Linked DNA regions of Stegostoma tigrinum. The protein of the gene in region 2 interacts with the protein of the main gene of each other region in a pairwise test. Links are inferred from orthologs where the notes say so. Each region holds a gene or a part of one and is shown on either strand. Other genes may lie near its edges.

The links.
Region 1: the proteins of casein kinase I (region 2) and per2 interact in binary tests that used the Homo sapiens proteins (3 or more experiments, as listed by UniProt). The link is inferred for Stegostoma tigrinum from reciprocal best matches to the Homo sapiens genes CSNK1D and PER2.

Annotation. Positions count from the first base shown.
Region 1 is NC_081367.1:19,822,823-19,833,582, reverse strand, and holds the start of per2 (period circadian protein homolog 2), read left to right. Parts: upstream 1-6,702; 5' UTR 6,703-6,773; exon of another isoform or gene 6,774-7,105; intron 7,106-10,760. UniProt on the Homo sapiens protein: Transcriptional repressor which forms a core component of the circadian clock.
Region 2 is NC_081375.1:27,796,915-27,807,498, reverse strand, and holds the start of casein kinase I, read left to right. Parts: upstream 1-5,612; 5' UTR 5,613-5,952; coding exon 5,953-6,028; intron 6,029-6,493; exon of another isoform or gene 6,494-6,815; intron 6,816-10,584. UniProt on the Homo sapiens protein: Essential serine/threonine-protein kinase that regulates diverse cellular growth and survival processes including Wnt signaling, DNA repair and circadian rhythms. It can phosphorylate a large number of proteins.

The DNA.
Region 1 (10,760 bases), on a different chromosome or scaffold from region 2:
TCCTAAAATATCACCACCAACGCCTGAGGCATAGTCCATCCGGTCCGGGTGATTTATCCACCTCCAGACTGTCAAGCTTCCCTAGCACCTTCTCTTTAGTGATGACCACTACACTCACCTCTGACCCCTAAGTCTCTTAAAGTTCTAATTTGTTGCTGGTGTCTTCCACTGTAAAAACTGATGCAAAGTTCATATTCAGTTCCTTCGAAATTTCTTTGTTCCCCATTTCAACTTCTCCAGTCTCATTTTCCAGTCTCATGTCCACTCTTGCCTCTCTCTTACCTTGTAGATATCTAAAAACCTCTTATAACCTTCCTAGTAAGCTTCTTCTCATATTTCATATTCTCCCCATTTATTGCTTTTTTCAGTTATCCTCTGCCCTTTTATTTAAAGACTTCCCAATTCTCCGGCTTCCCCACATTGTATGTGTTTTGTTTTACTTTCATGCTCTTCCTGACTTCCCTTGTCAGCTCTGGTTGTCTCATCTATCCCTCAATGTTTCTTCTTCCTTGGGATGAATTTCTGCCCACCCACCCGAATTACCCGCAGGAACTCCTGTCATTGCTGCTCCACTGTCTTCCCTGTTAGGCTCAAGTTCTAATCAACTCTGACCAGCTCCACCCTCATGTCTCTGCAGTTACCTTTACTCAATTGTATTACCATTACATCTGATTCATCTGGTTGTTGACATATTGTTGACTGTGTCTCTCAAATATATGCTATCCAACAATCAATCTCCATTTCATCTACCATTCCATGGGAGTAAATTGATATGTAGTTCAAGGTTCAAAAAAATCAATGCAGTAAGGACAAATGCTCTCTTTGAACAGTGAAACAGCATCCTTAGCATAATGACCTGTAGGGGTTAAACAGTATCTAATTAAGACAACAGCTGACGAAAATATCTTTCAGAATAAGGCCGAAATCTACAGTTAAAAAATATTGCTGTTGTGTTATCTTATTGAGGGATTTTAATCAAAGCATAATCACTAATGTTTAAATCACTATTTACAAAGGAAGAATTCAGTTCCGATAGGTTTACTTAGAAGTCAAAAGTGAAACAGAAATTAGACATAAATGACAAATTTGCAAAAAAAAGCACCAACACAGCAATAGATTTATAGGGGAATTATATTTAATCCACTTAATCCACTCAACATGTAACTGCCTGAGGTCATATTTTACCTGACCCTGTCTTGTAATGCAATCTGGGTATCCAACATCTACTTATTATTGTTTGTTGCTGGCAATGTTTGCTAATGGATTGGTACACATTTCAGGTCAAGAAAATAGATTATGAACACTCAAATTATATTATTTCTATCAATATATCAGATGATACTACAGGGCAAATTTTGCTACATTATACTGGGGCAGAGAGATCCAGGGTTTTCTGAGAATAAATTTTCGTTAATTGATTTGCTCCCACTAATCTTAATCAACGGAAAATTATTAGCATTATGAATTGGATGCCATGACCACTGAGTCAGGAGCAGAGCCTTGCAGAATTTATCCTTGATAACTCACAAAGAAGTCATTGTAATTCTGACATGCTTAAAAGATTAAACAAAAATCACATGGCAATCATGTACAGTAAGGAAGCAAAATGTTAAAAATAGAACAGTGTGATTTTTTCCCCCATTACAGATTACCAGAGAACTTATTCATTTATATCAAATGTTTGTTTTGCATCTGTATTTAGCATGAAGCTTCAATTAGCTTTGACTTCATAATTTATTTGCATCATCTAAGTTCAATAAGTTACTGCCTTGTGGCACAGCCTGGCTGATACTACTTTGCAATGAATGCTGTGTATTTATTCTGTACATAAGGTTATTTTTATTGAGATTATTCTACCTAAATCTGTGCAGGGCCAGACCTGACTGAACACAGTAGAAGCTGAATGAGGGTGCAAGAGTTGGTGGTGCAATATTGAGAAGTGGGGTCCTTTTGAGTGCATCTCCCATGTCCCTTTTGCCATTATTTCCCTCCTTACCCAGTGCCACAACATTCCTGTCACCCTTCTTCCAAGTAGCTTGGTGCAGATCAGTGATAGGGTGTGAAGCCATGGATAAGATATGCGATGTTTTGTTTAAAGCAGCATACTGGTTTGGCAATAAATGTTTACAATGGCTGTGGTCATGACCTCCACAAGCCTACAAAGAATCTTTCTTGAAGGTAGTGATGTTCACCATGGCAGGCAGTTTTGCAATTTGTTGTTCTGTTAAACTATTCACTATTGAATTGTGCCTTCCAGCTCCTCCCTATCAGAAAGATAGAGCTTTTTTGCACACAAGGTGATCAGATAATTATTTTTGGCATTATCATAAATCTCTGTACCCATCTTGTCTAATTAATTGTCAAGTATGTGTGCCTGTAGGATTCTTGCTGTGCATGAAGAACCTGAGGCACTGTATCTAATTGACCAGAGCTGGATTAGGATAATGCCTTCCAATGGAGACTTTGCACAGTTGCCCCTGCCAGTGGTATCTGATCATCCTCGTTAGTGAGAGCTGACTCATCAGGTGAAAACCCAATAACTTTTTAAGTGGATCAATTGAAGTATGGGCACTTGTGTAGATGCATGGTGGAACCTTGTTTGGTGGTGTAACTTGAGAAGGAATGAGGTCCACAATGGCATGAGGGGTTATGGACACAATTAGCTCAGCCATAATTTCACTGAGTGGTGGAGAAAGCCTGAGGGGCTGAATGGTCACTCCCATTTCTCATGTTCTTATACTGTTATGTCCTGTAATATTTGCTACACTCATACAGGCCTTAGAAGTCTAAAAGTAAATGAGTTAGTTGTGGAAAATCACAATGTAAGCAATTACCAGCTTCACGTCTCCCCTCAGTTCAGCCATTAATGAAATTGAGTCAGTACATGAATTTAAGATATTTCTTATTCTGTCAAAACCCGCCTGTGAGGTTTCTATACTTCCAGCTGTGACTGAAAGGCTGAAATGTGCTTCTTATTTCCAGGCTTCCTTTATAGTTTCTGTTTCTTGTCCCCTGTCATTTGTGTTTTGTACTTTTTTCTTCCACCAGGGCTCAAAAAAGCAGAACTATAAGTTTGACTGAAGGCAAGGGTGACCATGAGACAGATGCATCATATTACATATGAGTTGAGGTGAGTGGCAACAGTTCATAGATAAAAGAAACGATGGAAAGGACAGAAATTTATGGCTGAACAACACAGAGCTATTTCTAAGCCAAGCAGCAGAAGCAGCCATGATCATAATAAATGGCACAGCAGGCTTGAAGAGTCGAATGGCCTACTCCTGCTCCTACCTTCCATATTTTTATGCATAGAACACCACAACCTACAAGTTCTCCTCCAAATAACACAGCACTAGTTCTGAGGAAGGATCAGTCAACCTGAAATGTTAGCAGTGATTTCTCTCCACAGATGCTGCCAGACTTGCTGAGCTTTTCCAGCAATTTCTGTTTTTACATCATGTAATTGCATCTTTTGTCATTACTTATTGTCCTAAATTTTGGAACTGACTACCTAATAATACTCTGGGAGTGCATTCACCTCTCATAATGCAGTGTATCCAGAAGTAATCCCACCACCATCTTCTCAAGGGGAATTAGAGGCAATAAATGCTCATGAATGAATAAAAAGAGAAATATACTTTTCCTGTCCTACTATCTGCAGTACCAAATTTATCTGGCTTCACCTTAGTCGAGGTAGAGTCAAACATTTGCAGTTAAAACCTGTTGGTTTCTCAAAGAGGTAAGTAAAGGATAATCAAAGTCTTTGCCTTTTGGTGGAACTCAGCAGAATGAACTGACTGAGCTGCATCTTTGTTTTTTTTAAACCATGCTGTTCCCTCCAACAAAGGTATCATCAGGTCTGAACTCCTCTTCAAAGAGTACAGTAAGTTTCAGGTTGTCTTCCTGCGATAAATACTAAATTTCAGTGGCACATTGATTACCATTCTCTCCCACTTTTTTCCTGAAAGATCAAATTAATGGCTAGAATGTAGTACACTTCTTTCCTCCTTCTTTTAGTCTTTCCTCGAAGAATTAGGGGGCTAACAACACTACATCGTCTAATGTGAGTTCCTATTTGGACAGCGAGAATTCTGCCAAACTTCGCCCAGCACTGCAATCAAATTTAAGAATCAAAAATGTTAATTCATTTCTTTTTCATTTTTGGCAGCATCTTCCATAATCCTCTGCTTAATCAGAATGGGTCACCACAGTTGCAGATTGCACGCTGAGTGAATTGCTCTAGGAGTACTCCAGCAGTGGTTGGAGCAGCTGCACAAGTTGTTCTAGATGCACAAACACAGATAAAATAACATGTGTAATATGTATGTATGTATATGTGCATAGACAAATCATGCAACAATGATTGAGATTTATATTAAAAATATATTGAATGACAGTTTTCTATTTGTTAGGATTTTACAAAAGACAGGATTTTTTCTCTGGCCACCTGAAAAGTCAGCAGGGAATGTATTTCTACGTTGAAAGGGTAATTAACTGGGGTTAGAATTCCCACCGATTGCACAGGTGACAAGTTCCATCTCAGAGCTACCAATCTCGGCAGTTAGATTCTACTAATGGCAGTTCAGTAACCTGAAATGGGACCAAAGTTGTTAGCAGATTCTTTGTTCAGTTGCAGATAATCTAATGGCGGGAAGAAGAGGAGAGGTTTGAGCAGGTGGGGAAAATAGGTTGGTGTTCTTGATGGAGGGAAAGCTCCTGATGGCTCAGATCCTGGGATGTGGAGAAGTGTCCAACATGGAAAAGAGGCTGTTAAACAAAGTGATTCAAGTCCTTTCACACTGCTGCCCCCGCCCAACACATTTTCCAGTCTGAGGTGTCAGCAAAGTGATTTCTTACATGGCTTCCCTCCTGCTCCTGAATTTTTCTCACTTGCCTGAAATTGAAGTTAGAGGAAACTGATCTTTAAATTGCCAAATTAAGGATCTCAATTAAGTCAAGGATAGGTGTGCTCTCCGAGGCTTCTCTTGTTTCATTCTAAAATGGGAAACTATTTAGGGAGGGTGGTGACAATGTTATGTAGGGATTTTTTTATACACCTCAACTTCACACACCTGTTGATGGGTAGCGGGGGGGGGGGGGGGGGGGAGGAGAAAGTCAAATCAATTCCACATGTCATAAATTCACTTTCCTTGTATTCTTCAAAGAGAGTTTCCACTTGTAGATTATGTTCCAAAAATCTGAAGCATGCACTCTGGACGGAACAGAATACCTTTGCTTAACAATGGCCCTTAATTGTTTGCATTGTACATTAGAAGTAATTTAAGAACATTCTGCATTCTTTGGCCTCCACCAAACAAGAGAAGATACCTCACCAGAACACTATGTACATGCCAAAACTCATTAGTTAAACAATGTCTTGTTGCCACATAATATGGCAAGATACTAAGTCACCATAATACTTCAATACAAAAAAAATTACACCATTCGTGATCAAAATACCTTTCTTACACTTCCTACAGAGACTGTTAAAATAAAACTTTTGGATGGAACCCAAATTTATCTTTGATAGATCTTCCAAGGTTGAATACAAAAATGTAGATGCTAAATCAATCTGTGGGGTTCAGGATTCCTGCTAGCATTGTTATATACAGAACTTTCTGGTTTTTAACTTGTTCTGAAGTCCAAATAGATTGTTCTGTGTGTTTAAAAACCATCTTGAATCCATGATAATAGTGTGAAGCTGGATGAACACAGCAGGCCAAGCAAATCTTGAATCCATTTTGGGTTAAATTGAAAAACTTCTGAATTATAAAGGAAACATGTACCCTTGTGAACCATAAGATCAATCGTTCTTATCCACAACAAATTCAGAATAAGGAAGTAGAGCAAACAGCGCAGGTCATGGGGTGTGATTGAGTCAAATTGAACGGAGATTGGGTATAATGAACATTGGATGAAGCAGAGAAACAAGTCAGAAAATGTTTTTTTTTTAAAAGACAAAGCTCTAAGAATAATACAAACTGTAGGAGTAAGAGTCGAGTTGCAATTGCTTTTATCTGAACCTCTAAGGATAACTGATAGTTATGTCAGGTCAGATAATGACATTATGAATAAGGTAGTCATGGCCCAAAATAGTGGCTCGTAACAATTCAAATTGTTTCGTTTTCACCGGGCAAACGCAGCAATTTAACACTCAGACGGCGATCGATTGAGTTATGGGGAAAGCAGCACCAGTGCGGTGCTTTCTATGGTGATTATATATTGTAGATAACTCATCCCACAGAGGATCACTTCTTGGTCGCATATTGTTGTTCTGCTTTTTCATTAAAACGCGTAACCAGCACTCGCCATTACACAGCCAATTCTCAGCTTTTGTTTTTCTCTCCTATTGTGCACCTTTCATTGCACTGCCAGCCGCCTGACATAAGCCACACCTTGTGCAAGTCACGTTTGCATAAAGCATGCTCTTGCACAGCCAGCGCCGGAGCAGAACGCAATTAATAAAGATGACAAAGGTAGCTCTGCATGAGCAGAGAAGCCCGAGCACAGACACATTGGGATCCACGTGAAGGTTGTGTAGCGCAAGCGGCTGATTGACAGCCAGTGCGGCTAATGGTAGCGTGCTGGCTGCCAGGCCTCCTGAAGTGCCAATGGTCTGCCTCTCAGGACACGGGCGCTGCCAGCCAATGGGAGAAGTCGAGGGCCGGACTTGTCACGTTCCCCGATGCGTGCAGCCGCGCGAGCTAAGTGCAACATTGCAAGTGAGCTTGGATCGCGCTGTATTGCGAGTAGGGAGATCAGCGCTGTTTGAGGTGAGGTGTTTCCCTATGCTTCACCTTAGCTTGTACAGATCTTCGGGGGAGAGGGCTGGTGGAAATATTAGTTATTCTTATTTTCCGACACACAAGATTCTCGAATTAACTATGCAGCTGATGATTGTTGGTGTTTCCTTCACTTTATGAAATTAGTAAGTCCGGTACAACCAGATAGGTATTTGGTGTCCGTGCCTTCAGTACATGGGTTGGGTCCCTGTGTTTTATAGAACGGTTACATAATCCCATCAGTGCTCGGGAAATGTGTTGATGCGAGCCGAGGAAAATCGTGCAGTGGTTACATTTGCTTGTCTGGAAGCACACACGCCCAGGTAAGGTGAAGCTACCCTGTAGGTTGTTGCAATTTTTTTGGATCAGCTGTGACCCCTAAGTTTTTATTTGAACTACAATGTGTTAAGTTCTGCTCTTGTTAATTTCAACCAAAGACAGGAAGAAACAATCTAGTGGTGCTTGTGAACCAACATTCCTTTCATTCGAAGTGTAGGATTTTCTTGTTTACAACTGTTGAATCTAAAATTATGGTTAGTGTTACGCAGTTTGTTTTTTTTAACTTGATGCTTTTTATTAAGCTGTCAGGTTTTTTTTTCTCCTGTGTGTCTGTTACATTTGAAACCATTTCAGTCCATTCCAGAGATCTTCTGATCAGGCAACCAGATAGTTTGGTCACTTAGAACCCACAGGGCATAGGAGGCTATTCGGCATCTTATTGGGCTAGATGGTACTGCCCTTCCTCTTCCTCTTCCCCAGTTGGGTGCAGGAGTAAGAGGATATTTGGCCAATAACGTTTGGGGATGCCTGATGCTACAAGTTGAAAATGGGTGGGTTATGCCCCACGACCAAATCACAATAATCATACATGTGATAATTGCATAATATCAAGCACATGTAGTTATTGTGCTGCTTTCTCCTAAATTGCTGTTGCATTTTTCACAGCTGAAGGCTCACTGCTGTTAAATTATAGCAATTAGAATTACTTATGCCTGAAATCTAGTAGATCTATGAAGTTTGTCAGTTTGGAGTTATAGTTCCAAATCCAAATTGTTTGCATATGATTTCCAGTGATTTTTGTATCCAGCAATTATTATCAGATCTGAGGATCCTCAGAACGAAGCAACTTATTTTTATAAATTTAAGTTCAATATGATGTATGATTAGTCAAGACACCCAGAGCAAAATGCCAATTAAATTAATTTAACAGAATCAGTTAATCTCCATGATTTAGAACTTAATCCAGAGGATAAGATTGTGTTTGGATGGATGTGTATGATTTACATGCATTGTTATGCTTTTATTTGAATGTAACATATTGTTGTCATCATACACACTTTGGTGGGTATCAGCGTGGCAGTTTTCTCTACGATTGTATTAAAAACTAGTCAGTATTTAAAGTTACACCCGATTACAGTTTATTGTTGCCAAAACAGAAGATTATGCTAAATCTTGTTCATAGCGTTTACTGTTTTCCTGTGTTTTCCAAATATTAGAATTAATGTCAGGTTCACACAAGTCAGTTTCCAATTGATCAAATATGTGTGTTGTATCATTGTCCCAATACTTTGTTCTTGTCCTAATCTGTCATGGTAAAATGTTGTTGTTGATCTTGATTTCTGAAAATGTTCCGCCTGTGGAGTGCTTTTACGTGTAAACAAAAATCTGTTTTGATCTGCATGATACTGTTTTGAACGTGACTGTGATTTGCTGCTTATTTGGGTCATGGAGAGGGATAGCGGAGAAAAGATTTTGTTGAAACTATCATAGTCAAACCAAGTGCACTTGTATTTTAATAATCCCAGATTTACAAAAATTTTAAAAGAAGACATTCAGCAGGACAGTCTGCAACTGTAAAAATGAAAGCCAGACCATGACATTTCAGATGTAAAGTTTAATCGAATGGCTGGTTGTGATGAAAGGTTACATACCCAAAATGTCAAACTTTCTTTTATCTTTATAACGGTCACTGTAGGTAACTAACTGTAAAGTCCATAGATCTGTTGGGAATGACTTCTCTTTTACGTTGTGATGTTGATGTTCAACTTCTGTTGCTGAAGCAGGAAATATAAATTAATTTAAAACATCTCTGGGTTGTTGGGCCAGAAATGATTTTTGCATCAGTGGTCTATTTTGAGGTGAACTAGTTAGACTTAAAGATGAACCATTGCATATTGCTGCATAAGTTTGAGAGCTTTAATTATTTTGTAGGTGCCCGAAAATGAACTAGTTCAGCAAAATAAAATGCCTGGAATACATCCATTTTTTTTAATTGTCATAAAAGAATAAATGTAGTAACTTATGAAATATCTATGCTTCAAACAGCAGTGAACTGAACTACCTGGTTCATCTGCATGTTTGATTTCTTTAAAACTTTTTTATTTTCTTTTGCCCTTCTCTCGAATGTGGGTGCCACTAGAATTTGTTGGCCTTGAACTGAATGTCATGCTAGGTCATTTCAGAGACCAGTTAAGAGTCAATCAATGCGGTGGGCCTGGAGTCACATGAAGGCCACACCAGGTGATGATGCAAAATTTCCTTCATATAAAAGGATATTTGTGAAAATGATTATTGTTAAAACCATGTATATTGTTTCCATTGTCTCCTTTACTGAAACTAGTTATATTCCAGATTTATTAAATTCGCACTGTACTAGATTTGAAACCGTGACTACAGCACATTAGCCAATACCTTTGAAACAAAGGGGTTGCTATTAATCCAACATCTCCTCTTAACTGGGCTGTTGAACCAGCGTTTAAAATTCAGATTACATTTGTTTCTTGCTACTAATATTATTTTAAAGGGAAGTAATTAAAAAGTAACTTACTAAACAAATAAACTTGATATTTTTTCAAAACTACATGATCAGTTCAGATTTGACAGGTAAAATTCATTTTCCCAGGAGAGTAATGTGGCGCTGAAAAGTTTTAAACAAATTAAATAAAATTACAAGTTTTGAGAATTGCAAGAATATACATTTTGTTCTCATGTTAAACATTCTCTATATACAGCCCAAAGGAGTCTACACAGGTTCGGGTCCTCAGTCTATTATGATGAGAAGGCCTTAGTTTGTGACCTTTCCACGTTTAACATGAATAAATATTAGTTTGAAACTGAAAAGTGCAAGCTACTCTAGAAATTGGTCGAGATATGCAGGTTGAGTAAATAGCTCCGGATTTTCACCAGGACAGGCACACTTTACTGAGAAGCTCATCTTGTGCTGTAATGTGAGTGGAACAATCTTGTCTTGAACTGAATGCTTGAAATCCAAGAAAATGTTCTACTCAATGTGCATTTTTAAATTTTTAAACTGCACTGTAGACATGAGGACTTTTTGCCTGCTTTGTCCTGTTAAGGAGAATCCTGTACACCACCATGGTGGACTGAAAATTCCATGTGGTACAAAATGAATTGGGCAGACTCATATCTGTTCCAAATGAAAGGGACCACACTATAATAAGTTCCCAAAACATGGACAAATATAAGCAGTGCAACTGATCACAAGGATGGATGTTGTAGTAAATTAGGATATGTCGCACTGGAACCGGGTAGTCCACTACTGTGGAGTTGAAACCTATTATGAAATTAGATGAGGCATTTTTTCTGATCTTTTGCTTGTTTAATGTTTGGTATCCAGTGATCCATTGATTGACAACATTTGTGCACGTGCGATCCCACTCCACTCTGTCCCATTGGGAATAGTGTTCCTCCCCAATCAACCCTATTCCTGTTTCCAGATTTTGTGCCTGAAACTGTTTTGGAATTAGTAATATTCTTCATTGTTTTGAAATAGATTGTGTTTTATGGTGGTTTTACGGTATTTGGTAAGAATCAAAAGCTACCGATCACACACATCAATAGTTTGAAGAGATAAAAGTAGGGGGATAGCTGACTTCTTAGGTTTGACTTTTCTGATCGAATACAAGTCATCCTTAATCTTAGAAGTAAACTTTAGTTGCTTTCTATTTTTACGGCTGG
Region 2 (10,584 bases):
TTATGAGCCCCCAAGCTGAATTTTCAAAATAGAATCAGCAAACCCCTGACAAGTTGGTGAATTTCTGGTCCTGCCTGTGTGCCTGATGCTGTTTTTAAATGTAAACAGACTGATTGGAGAGGAGGTGAGCTCAGTGCTCAATTAGAGGTGCCAAGCAGATCTGGAATGTGGGAACAGCCTGTCTGGTGCCAGTGACAAACAGAGGTGGCAACCATGTTGGGAGGTGCTGCTGCCTTGACTAGGGCATCAGTTTATTAAAGGGCCAGGAGGGTAGTGATGATGCAAAGTGATCATGGACACAAAGCCATGGAACACCACCTCACCTGGCACTAATTGACAAAGCCTGGTCCAAGTATCCGAGATAATGGGAACTGCAGATGCTGGAGAATCCAAGATAACAAAGTGTGGAGCTGGATGAACACAGCAGGCCGAGCAGCATCTGAGAAGCACAAAAGCTGATGTTTTGGGCCTAGACCCTTTATCAGAGAGCTCTCTGATGAAGGGTCTAGGCCCGAAACATCAGCTTTTGTGCTCCTGAGATGCTGCTTGGCCTGTTGTGTTCATCCGGCTTCACACTTTGTTATCAAAGTATCAGAAATGGCATTTCTGGTGGTGGCAAGCAAAAATAAATTGTTTTACTCCCAACAATGTAGTTGAAAAGTTACAATAATATTCCTTGACACATCAGAGGAACTCAAAGCTATTAAAGCAAACTTCAGCTAGGGAATGCCTGTATTCAGGGTATTTTAAAGTAAAATTACACAAACTGTGAATCTACCTTAAGGACATAATTTAAATGTCAATGAAGGAAAAGTGACTTTGAATGACAGCTGAGATATAATTGACTGTTTATACATAAAACATGAAATTAATCGACCCTATAAGCTTAGTAACATTGTATAAACTTGTTGAGTGTGTTATGTTTTGGCAAAATATATGGTATTAAATGAAACACAGCCATATTCACCAATTTACCATAAACATAAAATTATATGTATGTGTATTGGATTCTTGTGACATTTTATGTTCCTTTTCTCATCAGAAATTTACCTCAATTGAGCAACATGTCAAATTACATCATACCTATGACTGCCTTTTGTTATTTTCTTTCCTACAATTAACCCATTTTCTCAGAAAGTAGTCTGCCAATACTGTCAACCAGAGGAAAACTGAAAATTTATCATGGTTCACAATTGGACAAAGCCATCAAACTTCCACAAATACTCTAATGTTCTGATACTTTTCTAAACAGAGAAAATGAAGACCAAACATAAGCCCGCTGAGCACATTTCTGGTTGAGAAATTTTAAACAAGTCAAAACTGGACAAAATGCAATAAAGAGACCAAATATACCACAGAATTTGGGAAAGGAAGCAAAGGGTTGGGAGCATAACTGTTGGAAGGTGTTGAGCCTTTCCTAGAAAGAGAGTGGAAGGCCCAGCATCTGGTCTTGAAAGGAGTGAGGGTGAAAGACATTGCCTGATCTTGGATGTTCTGAACCTTCAGTTATTTTAATCAATTATAACCATGTCCTGGCTTGATCATGTCTTATTTCTTTCCCATCAGGCAACCTCTTCTTCTTGACATTTTGTTTAAATGCAACATAAATTGCAATATGGTATTTGTTTGTTGTTTTACAATTTGCATATCTTCTTGATATTTTCCTTCCATTGAGAGAAATTACTATATATTAATAAAAATTATGCATTTAATTGATTTGATTCTTCTGCCCAATTTATCATTTGGGCAATTGAGAGATTTCTATTACCAGTGTTAAAAGAATAAGATGGCTCAACAATTCTCAGCTTTATTGTCTATTTGTTCATGGTATCCAATGAATATGATTTCCTGTCTTCATAATTTTTTACTAATCACCAGATAAAATAATACAATAATTACAAAACAAGTTAGGGCGTGTCACAAAATCATTCTAATCCAGAAAATTTGGATGGGAGGAGATAAGACATAGTTTGGTAAAACTTGAGAGGAATATGGATGCAAGCCAATAATTTCATTCAAAAGAAAGCAAATACCTAGCAAACATGAATATAAAGTTAATAATATGAACCTCAGATGAAAAATAATTGTTTTCCCACCGTTCGACAATCGTGTGGCAAATCCGAGAACAGTGCAGGAAACAGCACCAACCTCTATACATGGTCCTCTTCGATCTCACAAAGACTTTCAACTCAGTCAACCATGTTGGATTGTGGAATATCTTCATCAAATTCAGCTGTCTGCAGAAATTTGTTGCTTGCTTCATGATGACATGCAGATCATGATCCTCAGAAATGGATACACCATTCATCCAATACAAGTGCCACCTGGGGTTAAACAGAGCTCTGTTATTGCACCAATGCTTTTCTCCATTTTTGTCTTCTCAACAGTCCACCACATCTCCACGAAGCTCCTTGACAAGTGTGGCCAACCTATAGGATGAGTTTGAAACTGCTCAACTTTCAATGACTCCAAATCAGAACCATGACCACCCCAACTTCTGTCACCGAGCTGCGGTACATAGACGATGCTCGCATGTGGACACACGCAGCGGCTGAGCTACAAATCATGGTCAATGCATTCACCAAAGTATGTGAGAAAATGGGCCTCAGGTTAAACATACAGAAAACAAAGGTTCTCTACCATTCCACTTCTGTCACACATCATAGTCCCCAAACTATCAAAATCCACAGCGAGTCACTGAATGGTGAGGATCATTTCCCATAACTTTGGAGCCTTTTCTTGGTGTAAGCAGATATTGAAGATAGAATCCAACATCGACTCTAATGCATTAGTGCAGCCTCTGGGTGCCTAAGGAACAGAGTGTTTGAAGTCCAAGGCCTGAAATCCAGCATCAAGCTCATGGTCTGTAGAGTAACCATGGTCCCCACCTTCCTGTATTTCAATGTGAGTATCCTCCCCCAGTCCAATATCCCCAGTATCAAGAGTCTAGTCACGCATGACCAGCTGTGATGGACAGGCCGCATTGTCTGCGTACTAGGCAAAAGACTCTGTAAATAAATTTTTGTATTCTAAGCTCTGCAATGTTAAGCTATCACTTGGAGGGGAAAGGGAGCACTACATCTCTACTGACATGTGGGAATCTCAGACCAATGAACACATAAGCTGGAAGGAATATCGGCAAGGATGCCAAGGGCTGAATGATTACTTTGTTCAAAATAGAATAAGATGGATTAGAAAGTTGGGTCATAATATAAGTAGATTCTGTTTAAATCAAGAAGGCAACTATCAAGGCTGCTTGGTATAATTTCGACAACCAAATGGATTTACTTAGAATTTATTCCAACGTACCTATGATAGATGAACTAAAATGAACCTTCAGTTATCTTTGCTTAGGAGAATACTTTTACAGGACCTGATAGAGTAGCCAGATGCAAAGATCATAAGAAATTGGAATATGAGTGACCATTCAGCCCAACAAGCTAGTTCCCCAATTCATAAGATCACGGCTAATCTGAATGTGGCCCAGTTTTCTTCCTGCTTCTGATGATCCTTATCTTCCTTGTTGATCTAACTTAGACTTGAATATAGTTAGTGCTCCAGCTCTCTGTGAAAGCAAATTCCAGAGTTTAATGACCATCTGAGAAAAGAAAGTCCTTCTCATTGCTGTTTGAATTGGGATAACCTTACCTTTAAATTGTGCGCCTAGTTATAAATTACTCCACAAGGCGAATCATCTCTCATCCCTTTCAAACCCCATCAGGATTTTTCAACAAGATCGCCTTGCATTTTTCCAAATTCAAAATGGTATTGGCTCACCTGTCCAAACTTTCCTCATAATTTGATTTACTGTAGTCACATGTACCTAAATACAGTGAAAATCTCTGTTTGCGAGCAGTACAGGCAGATAATAGTAAGCAAAGACATACAGATCATAGGGTGCTTGGACAGAGAGAGTTACACTCCACAGGAGGTGCATGAAGTAAGGTCAATATTATTTGAAGTTAGAGAGCCTATTCATCTGTATAATAATGGCAAGAAAGAAGTTATTCCTGAACCTGTTGGTATGTGTGTTCAAGCTTCTCTATCTTCTACCTGATAGAAGATGTTGTCAGAGAGCATTACCTGGGTTGGAGGGATCTTTGGTGATGTCAGCAGCCTGTCCACAGCAACAAGCAGTGTAAATGGAATTCATCGATGGAGGGTCTAGGCCTGAAACATCAGCTTTTGTGCTCCTAACAGGCTGCTTGGCCTGCTTGTTTTCTTCCAGCTCCACACTTTGTTATCTCCATAGATGGAAGGTTGGCTTCTGTGATGGTCTGGGCTGCACACACCATCTTCTGTAGGCAGAGCAGTTGTCATACCAGGCCGTTATGCACCTGGATAGTATGCTTTCTATGGTGCATCCATAAAAGTTGTTAAGGGTCCTTACAGACATGCTAAATTTCCTAAGCTATCGGAGGAAGAATAGGTGTTGTTGTGCCTTCTTGGCCATTGCATCCAAGTGGGAAGTTCAGGACAGGTTGGCAGTTATCATCACTCCCAGGAACTTGACGCTCTCAACCCTCTTGACCTCTGCTCTGTTGATGTAGATGGAGGAATGTTCTCCAACATGTCTTTATTAAAGAAATCGGTCCAGTTAACCATCTCTGAATTATTTTCAAAGTGTCCATCTTCAGTAAGCAGCCCAAAACTATACTCACCACTCCCTGTGCAATTTCACTGCTCTGTACAATTATCACAAGACTTCCCTACTTATATACTCTATCCCCTTTGCAATGAAAAACATTCTATTTGCCTTCCTGACTACTTGCAGAACCTGCCTGGTACCTTTTTGAGAATTATGTACAAGCACTCATTTGTAAAGCTGGAAAGAATGGTTGGTTCTTATTCCAAGTTGTCTTATGCCTTTATGATAATATATCCTAAAATAATTGCAGAGTTATGTGAGACAACAGTGTGGAGCTAGAGGAACACAGCAGACCAGGCAACATCAGACGAGCAGCAGAAGGGTTCCAACCTGAAAAGTCAACTTTCCTGCTCCTCTAATACTGCCTGGCCTGCTGTGTTCCTCCAGCTCCACACTGTTGTCTTTGACTCCAGCATCTGCAGTTCTAGCTATCTCTGCAGAGTTATATGGTTTATTTATTGATGTGCTAAAGTACAAGGACAAAACCAGTAAAATACTTGGAAATGAAGTAACTGCTCATACTGAAGGAAATTCCATGTTTAAGTATTCCAGATGACTCAAACAGTATGCATCATTCACATTAAATTGGATTTTCCTTGTGGGTGTGGAATAAAATGTAAAATATCAGATGTGGAAAAAGTGTTTTTTTTGTTTGTTTTCCCCTGTTGGATAATCACTTCTACTTTTATACACCATGGGGCAAAATTTATTTAAGACTTCAATATTTACATCTGCTTTGTCAAGGCAACAGCTTTATGACCCATACAAGGGGCAATTGTCTGTCATTACCAATTGGTAAATGCACTTACTTGAAAACTATTGCCTGTTAATATTAAGCAATGGGGCATTAGCTTTCTCTGTAGGTGTACAGAGGAGGACATTAGGATGATTCCCACTGCAGGAACTCAATGTGTATGGCGTCACCGACAGTCGCACCACCCTGTCCAGTGACGTCACACAACGGATGTGATGTCAGACCGTTCGCAGTCCGGCAATGGCGAGCTAGAGCCGAGGAAGGAGAAAGGAGAGAGAGTCACTCGAATCCGATGTAATCCTGCGTGCAGGCGGCCAGAATGACAATAAAATTTGGTGGAGCATAATCTACGGCGTTTAACGTGTCGTCTGGTGTGGATATTGTCGGGGTGCATTTGGAAAGAAGCGAGAAAAGTGTTGGTGAAAATCCCTCTGTGAGAGAGACTGAGAACAGACAGACACACACACACACAGAGGGAGAGAAATAGAGTTTCTCTGAGTAACCCGGGTTAAAATCAAACTCACACAGTGGGCACCAGGCGAAACCCACCATGGAACTCAGAGTGGGAAACAGGTACCGACTCGGCAGGAAAATCGGCAGCGGGTCCTTCGGAGACATATACCTGGGTAAGAACTGAGAGTGGATTTTAGGAACAAAATAAGAGATAGAATAGTCTTCATAACAGCACGGCTGAAAAATAGTGTGAGCAACATATTTAGTCTTGTGTCACTGGCCCCCGTGGAAAAGAACACGGTAATAGTTAAGAAAGAAAAGCTGTCATTCACATAGTCAATCTCCATATCCACAAGATGCTCCTTGGGAAGATTATGATTCTCAGGAATCACATATGGAAAGAGCTGACTGTTAGATAATGTCCAGGGTTCATTTCACCAGAACAGATGGACTGTTCCATCAATCAAAGGATAGGATATCAGTCATTTCAACCCAGCAACAAAGAAATCATGAACGAGAAGCGTAACCAGCGAAGCTGTTTCTTTTAAAACAAAACCACAGCTGATCTATGAAGTAATGCTCCTGGGAAATACAAGCTGTGGGAAATCTGAGAGGAAGTGGTTGAAATCTTCAATGTTTCTCAGTAATGTGAATGTAAAACAAATTGTCAGTTACCAAGTGGTGTTATAGTGCTGTATGTTGAAGGGATGCTTCAAAGTAATTGTTTTGTTAGTGCTAAAGTAGTGAATTGTGGGAGGTTGGTAAACAATCGGACATGTTTCTGGTGAAAATCGTTAAACAGGATCTGGGAATATCCATTGTTTTCATACAAGCAAGAGTGATTGCCCTTTGGTTGGAGTTAGGGAGTGTAATTTATCTGTAAATCTGTTTATGAAAAAGCAATTAATCATTTAAATGTGGAGCATCAAGGAGCAAATACATGTGGATGAGCCGTAACAGGTTTGTAACTTGAATTTATGATGATGGGCTTCCGCATATCGGACTGCTGTCAGTGTCATCTTAAAGCACAGTTAGCATCACATTTCCAGTGTATAGATCGTTCATTTCCAAAATCCAGCCTTTTCATTGTCAGCAGAAAACCTGGTGTCAACATCTTGACTGTGTGCTTCTCGAAATGCACTGACAACAGTTGGAGTAACAATTGCATATGAGGTTTCTAAGATTTGGTTGTTTTCAATTCTTGCTTGAATCAGTTTGATCTTTTATTAAATTGAGTCCATCATTGGAATGGAAGATAATGAAAGTTAAATATTTGAAAAGGATGAAGTCTTTTAACACAAAAGCAAAATACCGCAGATGCTGATGGTCTGTATTTTCCAGCATCGGATGTTTTTTATCACTGTATTTTAAAATAGCAACTTGCTTCCATGTGGGAGAGCTTAACCTTTATGTTGAACCAATCAGCTGTGCAAACCAACAGAACTGCGCAAACTGATATCCATTCGACTATTTGTGATAATTAAAATAATTGTTTTGTATACCATCAGTAGCAGTTAGCCCGACAACGAAAACAGTAGTGGAACAGCAATTAAATATTTTCAATAATTATACCAATGTTAGTAGAGTCACTGTCTTATCAGTTTCACTCCTACAATGAATGTTGATTCTTAAGTCCTAAATGTGTTATGCTAATTTCAACGTTAACAAAATTTGTATCAACTTTTAGGGGGAAATTAATCAGTTATGGGTTTTAAATATTCTAAAATAAATCAAGAAGCATGTTGATGTGTAAAAGTATCTTCTTTCACTGGATGCCGTTCTAGATAGCTACTGTGACTTCCCTTGTACTGCTGTAACATAAATGCAGTGATAGTGTTGCCTCTTAGAGTGCTAAGAAGAACCTTGGAATTGGTAATTTTCCAGAACTACTCTCCTACCGCTGAAAGCCCTTGTTCTGATAGTGAGACTTTCCAGGCACTTTTTTTCCTATTTTACAATTGCTGTCACTGCACTGAAATCATCCTGCCCTGAAAATGAGTGAGGTGATGTGGGGTGAATTTTCATGAACACCATATTTTTACATTTTCTCTGATTTCTTTCTGCGGTACTGTATGCCTCTTCCTAAATTCACATTAAAACTGTTTCCAAATTTTGGCTAGTCCTGTTTATGAACAATGATTAAGGTTTGTGTCGTTTCAGGAAATGAATCACGCACTTTTACGCAGATATGCTCCAGGCCAAAATGAGAGCTCAGTGAACAAACTGTAAAATATTGTGGAATCAATTTTTCCTTTAATAATAAAAGGAGAACTCCAATTTAGTGAATTTTATAACGGTCGTACTTAGGGTCAACTGCTGCACTGTTTGCACCTTGCTAGAGGTTCTGATTGCTTTGATCTTGATTTCCTTTTTAGTATTTTAAGGACTAATGATGTCTTTGCTTGCTGTGACACACTGTCTTTTGCCATTTTTCTCCCTACTTGCTCCCTTATACCAGGAGTATATGTTGCATGGCCTCGTATATTCGTGTCACTATATTCTACAATCTTAGTCCTTCAGTGGGGGAAGTCTCTGCTTGTTTAAATGGCAGCCCAGATCATTCCTAAATATCTCTTTTTAGTCAAAATTCAGTGTAAAATTCCTGTGAAACTGTGTTTCTTTTGTGATTGAAATATACTTTAAAAAGCAGTGTTTTAGGAACCAATTTTCAGTATATTCTTGGTTGGATTCTCTCTTTTGTCGTGACTTGTGCTTTGCCTGTCACTTCCCCCTCCCCCTCAAGGCCTTGATTCCTTTGTTTCTTTGTCCTGAAGCTGTATTGTGTAATTTGTTTTATAAAACACTGTTCAGATGGCCTTAGAGAATGGGCAAGAACTAGTTTTTGTTGATGAAATGTGTTTTAAAAGACCTGGTTAGTTCCCACTGACGATTCAAATATCATTGACTATCAAAGTGCTTTGTTTTTTGTTTTTATTTTCAATTTTCTTTATTGTTTGGAAGTAAACTGTTGTACTTGGTAGATTGACCTCAAAAGCAGAAGTACTCCTCAAGTCCTATTTAAATTCTGAACTCAGTCCGGCTGATATGTAACAGCACCCTTTAATATCATTTGAATGTGACTGACAGTCTTGTGCCATCTGGTCATTAAAAAATATACTTCTTCTTGAAGTTGTTTTGTCTTTTATGTGCAGTAAATAAAGTGAGCAACTTCAGAACAAAAACAAAATGAGATTGTGAGCTTTCATAAGTAAAATTGATCTTCCAGAATATTTGCTCAAGTAGGGGTGAAGTTTTGATCCATTTATTTAGTAAAATGAAGGAATTGTTTACAACCTGTTGCTCCCCTTCCGAGAATGTTGGGAGATTTGTTCAAGCAAACTTGAACCTCATTGGAAATAAGATCAGAAAGTGCTAGAAAAAACCTAGGCAGTTTGTCAGCATCTCTGGAGAGAAACACAGTTAATGTTTTGAGTCATATTGGACTTCTGCTTTCTGTTTTTATTTCAGCTCTCCAGCATGTCCAGTACTTGCTTTTAGTTGATCCTAATTAGCCCCACTTAGCAGTTTTAGCGCAAAATCACTAAGTCAGAGAACTCTGATTTACTGCCTTATGTCTCATCTGGGTAAGATTGCCTTTCATTTGATCTTGGAACTTGAACTTGGTTCACACTTACCAGATGTTTTGCCACAACCATACAATATGACTCCAGTGGTTCAAGAGGCAGAGTTGTGCTCATGGCCTCCCATTTTTGTTTTACCAGTATTTGAATTTTGCATCCCTAATTATGCATAGGAGTTTGATGTTTTTTCCCATAATTCTGATTGTGGGTTATTAATTTCCAATCTGCCAGCATCTAAAATGTTAAATTCTTGCCCTTATCTTAGAACCCTTTCTGGACGTGTCCTTTGCCACTCTGTAACCTCCTTTGGCATCAGATTTTCCATTCTGTTGATTGTGGTCTTTCTGTAAAATGTTAACTGAAAAGACTACATTCTGAATTTATTGAAGATTTGGGATAGCCTGAAATAGAAGTCAGTCAACTAAATTATTTCCTGAAAACAACACAGCTAATATAGCAGGTATAGAATAATGCACAGCTTTAAACGTGATTTGAATTTTCTGTTAGATTGTTTGACCCACGAAGCTGCGGTGTGAAATGTTTCAAGTATGTTTGTTTATACTTAGAGGTGATTTGTGGCATGTGTTTTGTCTGACACCTTTTAAATGCCCCAATTTCCTTTTTTGAGAACAGCAGTGTGTGAAGCTGATGTTGTGACCTGAAATCACTTGACAGATGAGACCCTGCACAACTTGGAATTGGGTGGGAAAAGGCGTCTAACTTCGAGTCTTCTTATGGGGAGGGATGGGACAAAGTTCCCCCGAAATTGCTACACTAGCAATAGATGGCAGATGTGATTAGAAAGGGGAGAAGTTAAGTGACAGTTGCTTTCTTTGGTAAAGTGTGTGCTTATCTGCAAACAAAGTTCCTTTGTTGGACAAATGGGAAGGCCACCTCTCCAGATGTATGTGGGTGGGAGGCTTTCATTTGTTTAACAAGCATCCCAGAGAGTAATGAGTACAAGTGATGCAAAGTGTTTGGAGCTTTTGAAGATCATTCATAGTTCTGAAGAGTTTCTATGTTGATGCAATTACGTTTCTGCACTTTGACATCCTCAGAACCCGAAAGAATTATAGAAGCGCTACACCCTCCTGCTGTATAAAATTGCTATCCTGGATATTGGCAAAGATGTGAACCTTTTGTAGCTC